2 linked regions of the Caenorhabditis elegans genome follow. The protein of the gene in region 1 interacts with the protein of each later gene in a pairwise test. Each region holds a gene or a part of one and is shown in the gene's direction. Other genes may lie near its edges. The genes, in order: dhps-1 and iff-1.

Region 1 (10,420 bases):
ACACCTAATTTTCCATCTTTTCCAGCCGAATAAAAGTATGGTTTACGTGAAATCACTGCTCCGCAGAGCCGACAATTTTATGTATATTGTGAAGAAGAGCTCAGAAGCACGAGCGGCTCTTTTGGTGGATTTGGTGAATGAGGAGGATTATAAAGAGCTTGCTGATAAGGAAAATGTGAATTTTTTTAAATGGAAAAATTAGAAAGTAAATTATCTAATCGCGAATTGCTTCGAAAATTTATTTTTTTTTAAATTTGGTAATTTTAGTTTAAAATTGCCCAATTTTGTAGTAAAATTACGTAAAAAATTCAATTTTTTCAATTCTAAAAATAATTTTAACTTGAAAAATGCTGTTAAACTGCTTTATTTAAAAAACTGTTTTCTTTTGAAAAATTTTTATAGTCCTTATTTAATCTCCTGATACCGAATATAAATGTGAAAAAATTCCACAAAATTCCCTGATTTTTTATTAATTTTTAAAATTCGAAAATCCATTGATTTGTTAAATTCAAACGACAAATTTTGACTGATTACCGTGCCGCAGGTGTGGATTTACGAGATTAATATTTTTAATTAATTTTTATTTAATTTTCATACCAATTTTCCCGATTTTTCTCGTTTTCTCGTTGTTTTACATTGAAATTTTTGTGATTTCCATTAATTTATTACTTTATTGATAAAAATAAATAAAATTTAAATGAAATATCTGAAAATATAATACTTCATGTAATTTTATTTGTTTCTATCAATAAAAAATTCATGGAGCTCACAAGAAATTTCAATGTAAAATAACGAAAAAATAGAAAAATCGGGAAAATTGGTATGAAAATTAAATAAAAATGAATTAAAAATATTAATCTCGTAAATCCACACACCTGCGGCACAGTTATCATTCAAAATTTGTAGTTTGAAATTAACAAACCAATGGATTTTCGGATTTTTAAAAATTAATATAAAATCAGGGAAATTTTTTTGAATATTTTTAGATCGATATTCGGTATCAGGAGCATATATAGGGTTAATAGAATTTTTTTTTATTTAAAAATAAAATAAAAATACTTTCAATTAAAAAAAATTTCCAAAAAATGATTTTTTTCCCATTATTCACTTTCCATTTTAAACAGTTTTTATTCGCCATAAAAATTTTGTCAATAATTAATTTGTTTTCTCCTACAGATCGATATAACAGCAGTACTAACCACCCATCACCACTATGATCATTGTGGTGGAAATGAAGGATTTCGTCGTCAATTCCCGAATGTCATGATTCTCGGTGGAGATTCAAGGATTCCGGCAATGGATCGGCACGTGAAGCATGGTGATATGGCAGAGTTCGCTGGGCTTCAGGTTATTTTTTTGAAATTTGATTTTTGAAAAAAAAATTAAATTTTTTTTGTTCCAAAATTTTAATATTGGTTTTTTTAGAAGACCTAGCATGAAATTTTAATTTTTTGAAATAATAAAAAAACTTGGGGTTTCCAGAAGTTGCTGAAAATTTTTTGAAAATTCAACCCTTTTTCTACAAAAAAAAAATCGATTTTTTGTTGGTATAATAAAAAAATTGGAATTTTTTATTCAAAAAATTTATTAGCAGTTTTCAGCAAAAAAAACGGAAAAAATTGCAGATTTTAACTTTTTTCTAAAAAATCGCTGCAGTTTTTCTTAAATTCCAGTTTAAAAAAAAACCTTATCTTCTTGAATTTCTGAATATTTTCTCGTGAAAAAATGTTTTAAAATCAGATATTTTCAACAAAAATCAAAAATTGCGGTTTTTTTCAAAAATTGTTTTACAAAAATGACACAATGATTGAAATTGTGCAAATTTTATTGCAATTAATTATTGCAATTTTTTTTAATATTCAAAAAAATTTCTTAAATAAATTCAAAAGAAAATTCCAAATTCCAAAAAAAATTCTTTAAAAAAACCAACAAAATAAATTCTTTTAAAATCTAACAAAAAAATCCTTTGAAAATTATTAAAAATCCAAAAAAAAAACCCTAAATAATTTCAAAAAAATATTCCAAAACAGAAAAAAGGTGTATTTTTAAAATTATTTAAAAATCCAAAAAAACTCCAAAACAAGTCCCAAAAAATCCTCGAAAAAATTTTTTAAAAAATCCAAAAAAAAATCCTTTAAAAAGTATTTAAAAATCCAAAAAAATTATTTCAAAAAATCCGAAAAAAATTTTGAAAAGTATTAAAAAATCCGAAAAATCCTCAAAAAATTCTTGCAAAATCAAACAAAAAAAATCCAAAATTAAAAAAAAAATCGAACAAAAAAAAATCCAAAAAAATCCGAAAAAAAACCTTTAAAAAGTATTTAAAAATCCTTTTTTTCTCTAATAAATTCCTAAAATTTCCAGATAAAATGTCTATCCACTCCATGTCACACATCCGGTCACATCTGCTACCACATCACAAATCCTGCCGCAGATTCCACTTCCCCTGGAGTCGTTTTCACCGGTGACACCCTATTCATCGCCGGTTGTGGGCGGTTCTTCGAGGGCACGGCACCACAAATGGACGTGGCACTCAACGAAATTCTCAAAAATCTTCCAGTCGAGACCCAAATATTTCCGGGACACGAGTACACTGTCGCCAACCTGAAATTCGCGTGCCACGTGGAACCTGGCAACGAGAAAGCTGCTCAGAAGCTCGAGTGGGCTCAACGACAAATTGAGCAGGGTGGATTTACGGTTCCGAGTACTGTAGCTGAGGAAAAAGCAACGAATCCATTTATGAGGGTACGGGAATCTGAGGAAATTCAAAAATCGATTGGGACATGCGATGCGGTCGTGGGAATGGCCAAATTGAGAGAAATGAAGAATAAATTCTAATTTTTTTTTTGGTTTTTTAATATAATTTTCTTGAAAATTTAAGCTTTTTTCATTGTAAAATTATCTAAATTTTGGAAAAAAAATTAAAAAAAAAAACAAGAAAAAGTGTTTTTTAAAAGAAATTTTGTAATTTGTATTTATGGAAAAAATTAGCAAAAGAATTTTTTTCAGAATTTTTTTTTTCGAAATTTCAATGAACATTTGAGGAATTTTACTATTTTTTAATTCAGAAAATGTACAAAATTGGAAAAAAAAACTGAAATTTGATTAAAAATCATCTGAATTCGATCGAATTTAAAAAAAAATCCGAAATTAAATAATTAATTCAAAAAATACTCTATTCGTTTTAAATTTTTCTAAATTAAAAAATGACAATTTTTTGAAATCAAAAAATTATTTTGTTTTAATTTAGAAAAAATATCTTAATTTCGAATAAAAAACTTTCTTTTTGGTTTTTGGAAAGTTCCACAATCTGGGAGAATTTTTAGAATTAATTACAGATTTTTTGAAAAAAAAAAGAATTTAAATGATTTTCAATGAAATTTTAATTATGGAAACGAACAAAATTCTAAAATTACGAAAGTAAAATTTCCAAAAAAGCGAAATTTTTCAAAAAATTGGCATTTTTCGGAATTTTTGTTTTCGGAAAAACTTCCACAATTTAAATTTTAAACGAATTGAGAATTTTTGAATTAATTACGGATTTTTTTTGAGAAATTTTACAAAAATCGAATTTCGATGATTTTTATTTTTTTCAAACAAATTTTGGTTTTTTTTTGTTGTGAACTTTCTTTATAAAATCGAACCAAAAAAAAGTTGTTTTTTTTTTCGAAAAAAAAATTCTGAATTTTTTCTAAACTACGAAATCTAAATTGCTAAAAAAAATTGTATAAAAATCGGCATTTTTATTGTAAATTGATTTGATTTTATGTGATTTCATTCCGGTTTTAATTTCTATTTTCCTGCTAAAATGTCTATAAATTTATGCTTATTCATTTTTTTCCGATTTTTTTTGGTACAAATTTTGTTAATTCAGTTTTCAATCATATTTTATTTGATTTATTGTATTTTTTTTTTTGGATTTTTTCAAAAAATTTTAATATTTTGTCTAATTTTACACCTAACTAATAGTAAATTCAGTAAAAACCCGCCTCAATTTTTCAGAAACTTGCTCCAAAATGAGCACCAACGAAGCAGCAGCATCTCAGGAGGATATAGCACTTGCTCAGGGAGCAGTTCTCGTGAAATCATGTCAAGTACCGGATGGTTCAATTCCGATTCGCGGATTCGATTTCAGCACGGCTTCTGGTCCGGATTTCTCGCTTTCCGCCATTCTTTCGTCTTATATGAGCACAGGATTTCAGGCAACACATTTGGCTCAGGCTATTCAGGTAGCCAGTTGCAAAAAATTCAGATTTAATTTGGAAATCAGAAGGAAAATTGAAAATTTCGAAAAAAAAATTTAATTCGAAAATTCCCGGTTTTTTAATGATTTTCTGAGAATGTCAGACTTATTGATTTTTTTTGAATCGAAAAAAAATTTTATTAAAAAAAAAAAAAATTCTGGGAAAGTTGAAATTAAATTATATTTAAACATAAAATAATGTAAAAAAGAAAAAATTAGAAAAAAATCATAAAAAAATGTATTTCGAAAATGCTTTTTTACATTTTTTAGGCGGAAATTTTCCTTTTTTTTATGATTTTCTGAGAAAGTCGACCTTTTTTATTTTTTTTTCTCAAATTCCAAATAAAAATTTTTTAAACTTATAGTTAAATTTTTAAAAAATTTTGAAAAAATCGCAAAAATTTTTATTTTTAATTTTTGAAATAGTCGGACTTATAGATTTTTTAAAATAAAATTCTGGAAGAATTTTAACTTCAAAAAATAATTTTTTTTACAAAAAATTTGGAAAAATAGCAGCAAAAAATTGTTTTACTCAATAAATTCCGAATTTTCCCAATTTTCAGCAAGTAAATCAAATGCTCTCCCTCCGTGATACTCCGTTGACTTGTGACGACGACGAGAAGCTTTTCCCATATCCAGAAGGTCGGCAAAAGAGATCATGTACTATTTTCCTCGGATACACGTCGAATTTGGTGACCAGTGGGCTTCGTGAGGTCCGTAAATCTACAAAAGATCTACACAAAAGTTGAAATTCCTCGTAATTCTACACGAAAACTATGTTTACCGTAAATCTACCCAAAATTGATCTTTGTAAATCTACACGAAAACTGAATTTCCCCGTAAATCTACACGTGAAAAATTAGTGCTTCCCGCAATTCTACGAAAAAACAATTAAAATTCCCCGTAAATCTACACAAAAATTGAAAGTCCTCGTAAATCTACACCTGAAACACTAGTGCTTCATGTAAATCTACCAACAAATTAGATTTACATGAAGTAAATCTACAACAAAAATCAAAGTTTCTCGTAAATCTACACCTTAAAAAGCTATGGTTACCGTAATTCTACACATAACTGATTCTTCTTGTAAATCTACACATCAACTCTAAAAATGACCCAAATCTACACTAAAATGTCCCCGTAAATCCACACCAATCCCCGTAAATCTACACAAGAAAAAATATATTTTTCCGTAAATCTACACAAAACTGAATCTCCCCGTAAATCTACACAAAATTGATCCTCGTAAATCTACACAAAATTGAATTTCTCCGTAAATCTACATAAAAACGGAATTTCCTGGTTAATCTACACAGAAATTCAAATTCCCCGTAAATCTAAATAAAATTTGTATTCGTCGTAAATCTACATCTAAAAAATCCTGCTTCTCGTAAATCTACAAAAAAAAACACAATTTCCCTGTAAATCTACACAAAAATTAATACTTCTCGTAAATCTACACAGGAAAATAAATACTCAGCTTTCTCGTCAATCTACCCACAAAAACTATGCTCACCGTAATTCTACACAGAACTGATTCTCCTTGTAAATCTACACATCAATTCTAAAATTGGCCCAGAAGCCTAAATCCATTAAGAAATATTGTAAATCTACACTAAAATGCCCCCGTAAATCCACACCAAACCGTCTCTAAAAAAATTTTTAAATTCAAATTCAATGTGCTGTTATTTCTCGTAAATTTACACAAGAACATATACTTCCGTAAATCTACACCGAAATTAGCGTCTCGTAAATCTACACAAAACCTGAAATTTCCCCGTAAATCTACATAAAGGTACCGTAAATTCACTCTAAATTCGTAAATCCACCCAAATGAAAAATTAAAAATTCCAGGTACTCCGCTATTGTGTCCAACGTAACCTAGTCGACTGTATCGTAACATCAGCGGGAGGCATCGAAGAGGATCTCATCAAATGTCTCAAACCTTCCTACCTCGGTACATTCACAATGGACGGTGCAAAACTTCGATCGAATGGAATGAATCGAGCCGGCAATGTGCTCATTCCGAATGATAATTATTGTGCATTTGAGGATTGGCTTATGCCAATTCTTGATGAATGTCTTGTTGAACAAGAGGAAAAGCATCTCAATTGGACACCGTCAAAGCTTATTCAACGGCTTGGTGAACGGATTGGTGATGAATCGTCGATACTGTATTGGGCGGCCAAGCATCGGATTCCCGTATTTTGTCCGGCGCTTACTGATGGGTCATTGGGTAGGGGATTTTGAATTTGGATTTTGAAAAATAAATCGAATTTTGGAGAAAAAATTCGAAAAAACTTTGAAAATAGATTTTTTTTAATTTATCAATTTTGCAAAAAAAAATATTCAAAGATTTTGAAAAATTGGAAAAAAAATTGAATTTTTTGAAAGAATTTGTTGGCAAATTTGCCGGAATTTTTCATTTTCGGCAATTTGCCGGTTTGCCGGAATTTTTCATTTTCGGCAAATTGCCGATTTGCCGGAAATTGTCAATTCCGCCAATTTGCCGGTTTGCCGATTTGCCGGAAATGTTCAATTCCGGCAATTTGCCAAATTTTCCGAAATTTTTCAATTCCGGCAATATGTCGATTGCCGGAATTTTTTATTTTCGGCAAATTGCCGATTTTCCTGAAATATTTAATTCCGACAATTTGCCGGTTTGCCTATTGCCGGAAATTTTCATTTTCGGCAAATTAGCGTTTTGCCGGAAATATTAAATTCCGCCAATTTGTCGGTTGGCCTATTTCCGGAAATTTTCATTTTCGGCAAATTGCCGATTTGCCGGAAATTGTCAATTCCGCCAATTTGCCGGTTTGCCGATTTGCCGGAAATGTTCAATTCCGGCAATTTGCCAAATTTTCCGAAATTTTTCAATTCCGGCAATATGTCGATTGCCGGAATTTTTTATTTTCGGCAAATTGCCGATTTTCCTGAAATATTTAATTCCGACAATTTGCCGGTTTGCCTATTGCCGGAAATTTTCATTTTCGGCAAATTAGCGTTTTGCCGGAAATATTAAATTCCGCCAATTTGTCGGTTGGCCTATTTCCGGAAATTTTCATTTTCGGTAAATTGCCGATTTGCCGGAAATTTTCAATTCCGCCAATTTGCCGGTTTGCCGATTTGCCGGAAATGTTCAATTCCGGCAATTTGCCAAATTTTCCAAAATTTTTCAATTCCGGCAATATGTCGATTGCCGGAATTTTTCATTTTCGGCAAATTGCCGATTTTCCTGAAATATTTAATTCCGACAATTTGCCGGTTTGCCTATTGCCGGAAATTTTCATTTTCGGCAAATTAGCGTTTTGCCGGAAATATTAAATTCCGCCAATTTGCCGGAAATATTAAATTCCGCCAATTTGTCGGTTGGCCTATTTCCGGAATTTTTCATTTTCGGCAAATTGCCGATTTGCCGGAAATGTTCAATTCCGGCAATTTGCCAAATTTTCCAAAATTTTTCAATTCCGGCAATATGTCGATTGCCGTAATTTTTCATTTTCGGCAAATTGCCGATTTTCCTGAAATATTTAATTCCGACAATTTGCCGGTTTGCCTATTGCCGGAAATTTTCATTTTCGGCAAATTAGCGATTTGCTGGAAATATTAAATTCCGCCAATTTGCCGGAAATTTTAAATTCCGGCAAAATGCCGATTTGCCCATTTGCCGGAAAAAATTTTTTTTCGGCAAATTGCCGTTTTGCCGATTTGCCGAAAATGTTTAAAGGGATTTTTTATAAGAGAGCATCGAAAAAAAAAATTGCATTATTTTTAAACAAAATTTGCAAAAAATTGTTAAAGTTTTTGAAATTTGAAAAAAAAATTCAAAAAATTTTTATTTTAGTCAATTTTTTCAGGTGACATGTTGTACTTCCATTCGGTGAAAAGCTCACCTGGGCTTCGTGTGGATATTGTAGAGGACGTTCGACATATTAATACAATTGCTGTCAAAAGTTTCAAGACTGGATCAATTATTTTAGGAGGAGGTCCGAAATTAAAAAAAATATGTGAAAAACCCTGTTTTAGAAATTTTAAATTAATTTTTTCTCAAAAATTTTATGAATTTTCCAACATTTTTTTTGCAGTTTTCTGAAGATTGAAAAATTATTGAAAAAAATTGAGAAAAAAATTAAACTTTGAATTTTGAATTTGAAAATACCATAGTAATGAAAGCAATTTTCCAAATTTATTGTTAAATTTAATTTTCATACACTTTTTTCTAGTTTTTTCCAAAATAAAAAAATTTCTCGAAAATTTTAACGTAAAATTTCTTTGAAAAAAAGCTGAGTATGTAAAAAAAAATTTGGACTTTAAACAAAAAGAATTTAAACTAATTTTTTAAAATCAAATTCACAAAATTTGAAAAAAATGCTTTCCAGAATTTTTCCCCATTTTTGTCAAAAAATCCTACAATTCCAGGAGTCGTAAAACACCACATCAACAACGCGAATCTCATGAGAAACGGCGCAGATCATACCGTCTACATCAACACCGGCCAAGAATTCGATGGCTCCGATTCTGGAGCTCAACCCGACGAGGCAGTGAGCTGGGGGAAGGTTAAGCCGTCGGCTGGAGCTGTGAAGGTTCATGCTGAGGCGACACTTGTATTCCCACTTTTGGTTGCTGAAACTTTTGCAAAACATGAAGGACACAAGGATTAGGAATTTTTGCCAAATTTTCCCCCAATTTTTAAAACTATTTTTTCATTGTTACCTGTTTTGTTGACTTTTTCACTTGTTTGTTATTTTCTTAATACAGATTCTTTAATATTACTTTTTTTTAATTTACGAATGATTTGCGGGACAAGAAAACAATTAAAATATTTCGAAAAATCGAATTTTTGAAGATTTTTTCAAAGAACTTCAAAAAAATTCCTCAATTTTTTCTGAAAAGTTCAAAAAAAAATTAGCTGTTCAAAAAATTGTAACAAATCCGGCAATTTGCTTGCCGGTTTGCCGATTTGCCGGAAATTTTTAATTCCGGCAAATTGCCCGTTTGCCAGAATTGTTTAGAGGGATTTTTTATAAGGAAACACTTAAAACTGTGTCTTTATGAATTTTTTTCCCGTTTTTTCTACATATTTTCATAGAATTTGCTTACTTTTCAAAATAGATGTAGGAACATTCATAGGATGCGCTTAATTTTGTCATTTGAAATTGATATTCTGAAATTTCCAAAAACATAAGTGCGAAACTACAATTTGCCGAAAATTTTCGGTAAACTCCAGTTTTCCGGCAAATTCGGCACATCGGCAATTTGCCGGTTTGCCGATTTGCCGGTTTGCCGATTGGCCGGAAAAAATCGTTTTCCATCCACTGTACTGTAGCGCTTGTGTCGATTTACGGGCATCATTTATTAATCGATGAAACATCGAAAGAAAACACAAAAAAGGACAAAACAGTACGAAAAAACTAAAGAAAATTCGAAAACCGAACCCGTAAATCGACACCAGCGCTACAGTAGTCCTTCATGAAATTACTGTAGTTTTCGCTATGAGATATTTTTAGATTTAGAGATATGTTAGGCGATATGCTTTCTCAGGATTTTTGTCTTCTCGTAATATATGTTTTTTTCCTAATTTTTTTGCAACAATGATTAAAAAATTAAAAAAAAAAACCAAATCCAATTCTATAACAGTATTTTCCTGTTCTTATTTGTATAATTGACTCACTGCACATAATACACTAAAACTCATGACTCTTCTCAAAACTGACATTCTCTGAAAACTATTTGCCTATACGGTCGTAAATTCTTGTTTTTTTTCTGAGAATTTTTCAGACTTTTCCAGAATTTCAGAACCCCTTTTATGACTTTTTGAGTCACTTTAATAGACAAACAAACATTTTTCGTATAAAAGAAGTGCTCCGAGTGCTCAATTGTCCCGGCTCGTTCAATTGGAATTTTGTCCTTTTTCTTGTTATTCTTTTTATGTTTATTTAATCTAAATATAAATATTTTTTCAGATAAAAAGGCATAATGATGTCATTGAAAATTCAAATTTTTTTGTTAACATTTATGATGTGGATTTTGGGAGTCCGGGCGCAGGACAAAGATTGCATCCAGTGTGCAACATCAAACTTAATGGAAGATTGGGGAGCAACAGGACTTCCGCTGAAACCGGCGAATCTCCTGTTTGATGACAAGTGCGTTTTCATGTTATAATCATACACCTAGCGG
Region 2 (6,413 bases), on another chromosome or scaffold:
AATAGTTTAAAATATCTTTCCTAGACTGATTCTTCTCATAAAGATCAGCTTTGTCCATCAAAATAGAAACCTTCGAGTGATGAATGTAAATGTTCTAAACACAATTATTTTGATTTATTCTCTAAATTGTATTTAATCCTATATATAGGGATATATCCTACCGGTCCCAATTCTAATTGACGTGCAATTGGAGACCACGAACGATAAGTGAATCCCCAGTAAAGATCATCGAGGAATTCTACAATCGATGGGAAGAAGAAAATTGCAAGAATAATCTTAATAGCTCCAGTTAGATTAGTTTTCGTTACCTTAGCTTACGTGCGAAATGTTAGACAGAGAAATTACGAATATTGGAATCACTGCAGCGATCATTCTTCAGAATGGAAAAATAATAATAATGAATTCTTAATTCCCTATTCTCATTTACACGTTGAACAAAGTGCTTGAATAAAAAAGAGCATGAAAGTAGAGCGAATTTATTTATCGCGGTGTGAAAAAAGAGATTACTCATGAATATCGAAGGGCCAAATAATCATCGTACAGGTAAAAAGTTGAAATGGTGATAGTTAAACAATACACGGAAGACGATAGGTGGTTAAAGCACGGGAGAATAAATAATAAAAATGATGATGAATGAATTACATCAAAAGAGTTCGAGTTCTCCTCGGTAATTTCCAGCTGGCAGCTTTGACGTATCCATGTTGTCAAAATAAGGATGAACGAGAGCTTTTTTCGCGTTGAGACGAAGTGATGGATCGTAGATCAGCAAACCCTGAAAATATTATTTTACTTGTTAAAGTACTATTTTAGAAATCTTACTTCAAGAAGAGAGAATGCAGTATCGTCCAAAAGGTGCTTTCCAGTCTTCTTGTCGTAGAACTTGTCACGGAGGAAATTCTCACGCCATTTTGGGAACGTCGCCTTGTAGTCCGGAAGTGATTCAACACCATTCCATTCCAACTCAGTCGGTGTGCCGAGAACTCTGAAGATGCGGAACAGCTCATCAATTTCTGAATCTCCTTGAAACAGTGGCTTCTTCGTGGCCATTTCAGCAAAAATGCATCCAATCGACCACATGTCTACGCCCATCGAGTATCTCTGAGCACCCATCAGAATTTCTGGAGCTCTATACCAGAGAGTGACAACCTGAAAACCGGACAATCATTGTATTGGTGTACAGAATGAATGCAAACTCACTTCATGCGTGTAAACGCGAATCGGGATACCAATAGCTCTGGCAAGTCCGAAATCGGCAAGCTTGATTGCTCCATTGTTGTCGACCAGCAAGTTCTGTGGCTTAAGATCGCGATGAATAACACGACGCTGATGACAAAAACACATAGCTTGAAGAATCTGGAACAATTATTCTTGTAAAGACATCGATTTTAAATATTTCCTCACTTGGAATGTGTAACTTTTAAGAGTTTCGAGCGGAAGGTATTCATCTTTTCCCAACTGATCCATGTATCGTTTCAAGTCGAAAGACAGGAATTCGAAGATCAGGAAAAGCCGGTTCTCCTGCATAATGACCGCTTCCAATCCAACAACATTCGGATGCTGGAGCTCTTTGAGCAAGCTGATCTCTCGCACAGCCGTTGATGGAACACCCTATAAGAATTATTGTTTGAAAAAACGAAACTGCTACAAAATTCAAATACCTCATCTTCACTTTCCAATCTGATTTTCTTCATAGCAACCATGGCATTGGTTCTTCTGTTTTTGCCTTTGTAGACGACTCCGTATGTTCCTTCGCCGATTTTTTCGAGCTTCGTGAAATCGTTGAGTGTGTAAACCGAATCTCCCTCGTGGGCCACTTCTCCTTCGCGAATAGGATCCATAACTAAAATTGGAAATGAATTTTGTCAGAACAATTGTAATACAACGATAGAAAAGGCGTAAGCGTGTAATTTTGAATCATTTCCACTGCCGCCGAAAAGGGGGGACAGTCGGTGCGAGACCATTGCTTAGTGAAAAGGCATGCACCTTTGATGACAATTTATTCCGAAAAGGAGAGTACGCGCTGAGAAGGATTGTTGTGAAACATTGCATTCATATGATAAAATTTAACGCAAAACTGTGCAGAAAAGAGAATAAATACAGGCCGGAAAATATAAAAATAACTACTCAAAATAATCATAAACTTGATTTGTTCTACTTTATGAGGCTTCCAACAAAACTAAACAGAGTTTCAAAGAAAAATCGTAATCTTGGCTTCGGAGGGTGGATGGCGAGAGTTGCTGCCCCGAAGACCATAGAGAGGTAATTTTTATTATTTAATTTTACATGATGAAAGCGAAATTTGGCAAGTAAGCAACGAATGCATTTTTAGGAAATTATTTATTCAGATAAATCAAAAAATAGAGCAGATTCCTTGAAATCCTAAAAAAGTGAGGACTTCGATTCTGTCTGAAGATGGAAGTTGGCGCCAAATTTTTGGCTGCGTAGCGACTCATTCTTCATTGTGATACGCAGCCAAACAACGTCCTTTCAAAAAAATTCGCGCATTTGATTTTCTCTCGATTTCTATACTTTTCTCAGGTTTGTACAGTGTTTTTCTTGCTAAGATCAATATTTTATTAGAAATGCATCAAATTTCTCAATCAAAACAATTTTTTCCTGCAAACCTTTTTTTCCAAATTTATTTTTTGAATTTCTCGTTGGAAACTAGTTGAAAATGCTAAAATAATTGATAAATCTTTGTTGCAGTATGTCCGAAGATCATCACGACGAGGAGCAATTCGACTCTGCCGAGTCCGGAGCTGCTGCTACTTTCCCGAAGCAATGCTCGGCTCTTCGCAAGAACGAGCACGTCATGATCCGAGGAAGACCATGCAAGGTAAAAAATAATTCAGTGAATTTTCCTAATTAGAAATTTTTTAGATCGTCGAGATGAGCACCTCCAAGACTGGAAAGCACGGACATGCTAAGGTTCACATGGTTGCCATCGATATTTTCACCACCAAGAAGCTTGAGGATATCTGCCCATCCACCCACAACATGGACGTCCCAGTCGTCAAGAGACGCGAGTACATTGTAAGTTGTTAATTAGTTTTTAAGAAGGCTTTCAAAAAAATCAACTTTGGACGGTTAAACAAATCTTTTGAAAAATGAGTTAATCAGCTGTAAAAAATGTTATTGATCAAATTTTCAGCTCATGTCGATCGAAGACGGGTTCTGCTCGCTCATGGATCCAGAATCTTGCGAGCTCAAAGACGATCTCAAAATGCCAGAAGGAGACTTGGGAAACACTATCCGTGAGGCTCTCGAGAAAGACGAAGGAAGCGTCTTGGTAATTATTTCGACATCCACCTTTTGAATCTGAAAATTTTGATTTTCAGGTTCAAGTCGTTGCTGCCTGCGGAGAGGAGGCTATTCTCGGATACAAGATTTCTACCAAGGAATAATTGCATTTATATACAATTTCATAATAAAAGCAGTTCCAGTTTAATCATCCCGCTTTTTATACATCATTCGAAAAACATCGGGCAATGAACAAGTGCACCTCCGCTGGTGTTGTGTAATGTGGGTGTTTTATGTGTCGTGTTGATTGTGATATCTGCTCACCAAACGAAAATGAATTGCTTGCAAACCGCGGAGGTGACATCTGTCCATGGAGTGTTAAATCAGATTCAGTTGTCAGACTTTGTAATCACAGTTCCTAGTTTTTGGAACTACATGGCCTGTGCAGCTTTTCCACCCTTTGTACACTACACCTTATTGCTTATTGAGTTGACCCCAGGTTGGCCGCGTGCCAATAGAGCTGTTCACTTTAAAACGTGTCCTCCTCCGCGACCTGCGAGCACCCCCTTAACCACGATAATATCTAGGTGCAGTATCAAAGACCCACCTTCCTCAAACCTCACTAGCCATCCTTCCTTCATCAATTGGCAATTTAAAAGAGTCGCATAAATTTCACAGTCACCCAGGAAGATTTCGTAAACTCTACGCTTCCATCATCATCTCGCCACATCTCGCACCTCCTGCCGCGTTTACACCCGTGTCCACTCTTTCATCAGCCTTGATTGTTTGCCTTTCTCCAAAACCACACATATATCCGTCCTAATCTAGATTACTGTAGTCCGTCTCCACCTGTTCTTACTTAAGCTTTTCCTATCTCCGGCTTGCCTTCACATTCGCAAACAAAGCCTGAGAATTTGATGAGTATTTGTTCCATTTGTTGCATCAACCAGCATGTTGTATAACTGTTCATTTTACGATTCCAATAAGTTTTTATGATGGAGTACTGTTAATAGCGTTTTTACTTTAAAATTCTCAAACTGGTTAGCAGACCAATTTTGGGTCTGCTAAATAGTTTTTATAAAAAAACCATTGACAGTACAGCCTCTAAAAAAGATTAAAATAATTTTTGAATTCAGAAAGTTCTTGTTTCATATAAATAAGAGCCATCCCTCTACACGGGTCATCTAGTAGCTCTAGGTCGACACCTGTTCGTAGCAGGTTTTATGAGCTCAACAAAGGTTGTAGGTGAGCCGTGCCAACGTCTCAGTTTCAAATTCCGAGTTGAGTATTACGAAAACCTGGGTATAAAACGAGGGGATGCCGAGAAAAAAAGAGTAGTGGACACACACACACATACGTCTCATCTTCTTATTTCTTTTCGTTTCTTCCCGTCCAGGAGCCACTTGTCGTCCCGTCGTCATTTTGAGTTCCAAATGATGAAAGATTCAATGAATCACGGAGACGCAGGGTCCCGTCGATGGCTCATTTTGCGTGTTTTAGTGGCGGGACACAGGAAGAAGTCGAAGATTCACAACATGTCGCAACTGATTCATCACTAGTGCCTTCTTGCTCCAAGAGCAATGTTTTTCTAATTAGTTTGTACTACTTGATAACTTCTTAAGATTTGTTCTACTACTTTTAAAAATTTGGTTTTGTAGCTAGAAATCCTGAAAAAAAAAACATTTTTGCTATGAACTTTTTTTTGGATATACTTTTATAAACAGCATCTAGAATTAGTTAGAGTACCTGAAAAATCAAAAATACGAAATAGTACTTGTATCCTATGTGCGAAGTTGCACGATTTTCATTGCAAAATTAGGGTCTCCGGTCTCGCGACGACCGAAGAAAATATAAATAAATTGAAATGAAAACGAGTGTGCGCCTTTAAGAAGTACAGTAGTTTTTTTTGAAAGTTTCCTTGAATTTTTTTTCCACTTCAAATTATTCGTTTCGCTTCGAGACCAAGTACCGTAATAGTACCGTAAATTTCGAATTCCTATTTTTTAAAAAAATTCTTTAAACTGAATTTAATCAAAAATCAATATTCAAGTTAAATTTTCACCTTTTTGGTGAGTTTCAATTTCTCGAATGATACAGTAATTTTGAAAAAATAATTTTTTCTTATTTCAAATAATCTAAAAAATAAAACTTCATATTCTTTCAATGATGCCGAAATTTACAAAAGCCATGGTAGTTTATTAGAATTTTTTAGAATTTCATGTCAAAAAATTGGAATAGTTTTCACCTATCATAATTTGGAATTTGTAATTTTGACCAAAAAAGTCCTACGAATTTTGTATTTAAATTCAAGAATCATAGAACTTCGAACCTGCAGGAATGTCCAAAATTGTTAGACTTTAATTTTTTGTTGGGGAATTGTTGGTTTTTTTTTTTGAAAAAGTGTTAGACCTATATTTGTATGAGTACAAATGCTTTAAACATAATTAGAAACAAAAACAATTTAAAAAAATCTTTAATTATTTGGTTGACTTCCAAAATTGTTGAGAACTTGCAATTTTTGGATATAGATGGAACCAATTTCAATTTTTTTAAATAAAAAAGTATTGCTATGATATTTGACAATTCATCTTCTTCTCTGTATTTTCCGTACCCCAATGGTTTGCACTTCAATATAAGTTTTAAATTTAAAAAAGTTGATTTCCTTGTTTCCAAAACACTTCTATGCCTTAAAATGTGATAAAAATATAATAAACGATTCAATATTAATTCAGAAAATGCATTCACGGATATTGTTACTACTTTTGATGTTCGCATTCAATGTCGGCCTAATCAATTGTGGTCAAAGTCTTGTATCACCTCAATCAAACTGTAAAATCAGGTAAAATTACCCACTATTGACAACCACCAATTATATCTTCTTCTTATAATTTCTAATTATAGGTGCGAAAATGGTGGAATGTGTGTTTTCGATTTGGAGCGACCCGATTTTCATTCATGCATCTGTCTTTTGGGGGTCTACACTGGGGACAGATGTCAGATTAGAAGTAACTCAAAATTTAGAGTTTAGGAAAAATATTTAATTTTGAAATTTCAGTTGCTCCCGAAGATATTGAAACAACTGCAACATCCGATGAAACATCACACCCAATGAATATCCAACATCAGCGTATGTTTCTTTAAAATTCAAATTATCATGATTTTGTCCCCATTTG

Evidence for each region.
Region 2: the proteins of dhps-1 (region 1) and iff-1 interact in binary tests that used the Caenorhabditis elegans proteins (3 or more experiments, as listed by UniProt).

What each region holds. Positions count from the first base shown.
Region 1 is NC_003280.10:11,988,999-11,999,418, forward strand, and holds dhps-1 (Deoxyhypusine synthase), read left to right. Parts: upstream 1-4,002; 5' UTR 4,003-4,016; coding exon 4,017-4,229; intron 4,230-4,806; coding exon 4,807-4,956; intron 4,957-6,097; coding exon 6,098-6,479; intron 6,480-8,100; coding exon 8,101-8,229; intron 8,230-8,662; coding exon 8,663-8,904; 3' UTR 8,905-9,012; downstream 9,013-10,420. Other genes in the region: Y17G7B.3 (hydroxyacylglutathione hydrolase), read left to right, coding at 38-175, 1,177-1,347, 2,365-2,838; Y17G7B.23 (DUF281 domain-containing protein), read left to right, coding at 10,262-10,386. UniProt on the Caenorhabditis elegans protein: Catalyzes the NAD-dependent oxidative cleavage of spermidine and the subsequent transfer of the butylamine moiety of spermidine to the epsilon-amino group of a critical lysine residue of the eIF-5A precursor protein to form the intermediate deoxyhypusine residue.
Region 2 is NC_003281.10:9,742,899-9,749,311, reverse strand, and holds iff-1 (Eukaryotic translation initiation factor 5A-1), read left to right. Parts: upstream 1-2,118; 5' UTR 2,119-2,158; coding exon 2,159-2,259; intron 2,260-2,706; coding exon 2,707-2,836; intron 2,837-2,880; coding exon 2,881-3,033; intron 3,034-3,079; exon of another isoform or gene 3,080-3,151; coding exon 3,152-3,289; exon of another isoform or gene 3,290-3,319; intron 3,320-3,338; coding exon 3,339-3,404; 3' UTR 3,405-3,450; downstream 3,451-6,413. Other genes in the region: T05G5.4 (uncharacterized protein), read right to left, coding at 1-94, 162-275, 319-372; cdk-1 (Cyclin-dependent kinase 1), read right to left, coding at 644-772, 820-1,146, 1,198-1,353, 1,402-1,608, 1,659-1,838; T05G5.1 (Prothymosin alpha-like), read left to right, coding at 5,976-6,079, 6,142-6,245, 6,296-6,367. UniProt on the Caenorhabditis elegans protein: Translation factor that promotes translation elongation and termination, particularly upon ribosome stalling at specific amino acid sequence contexts.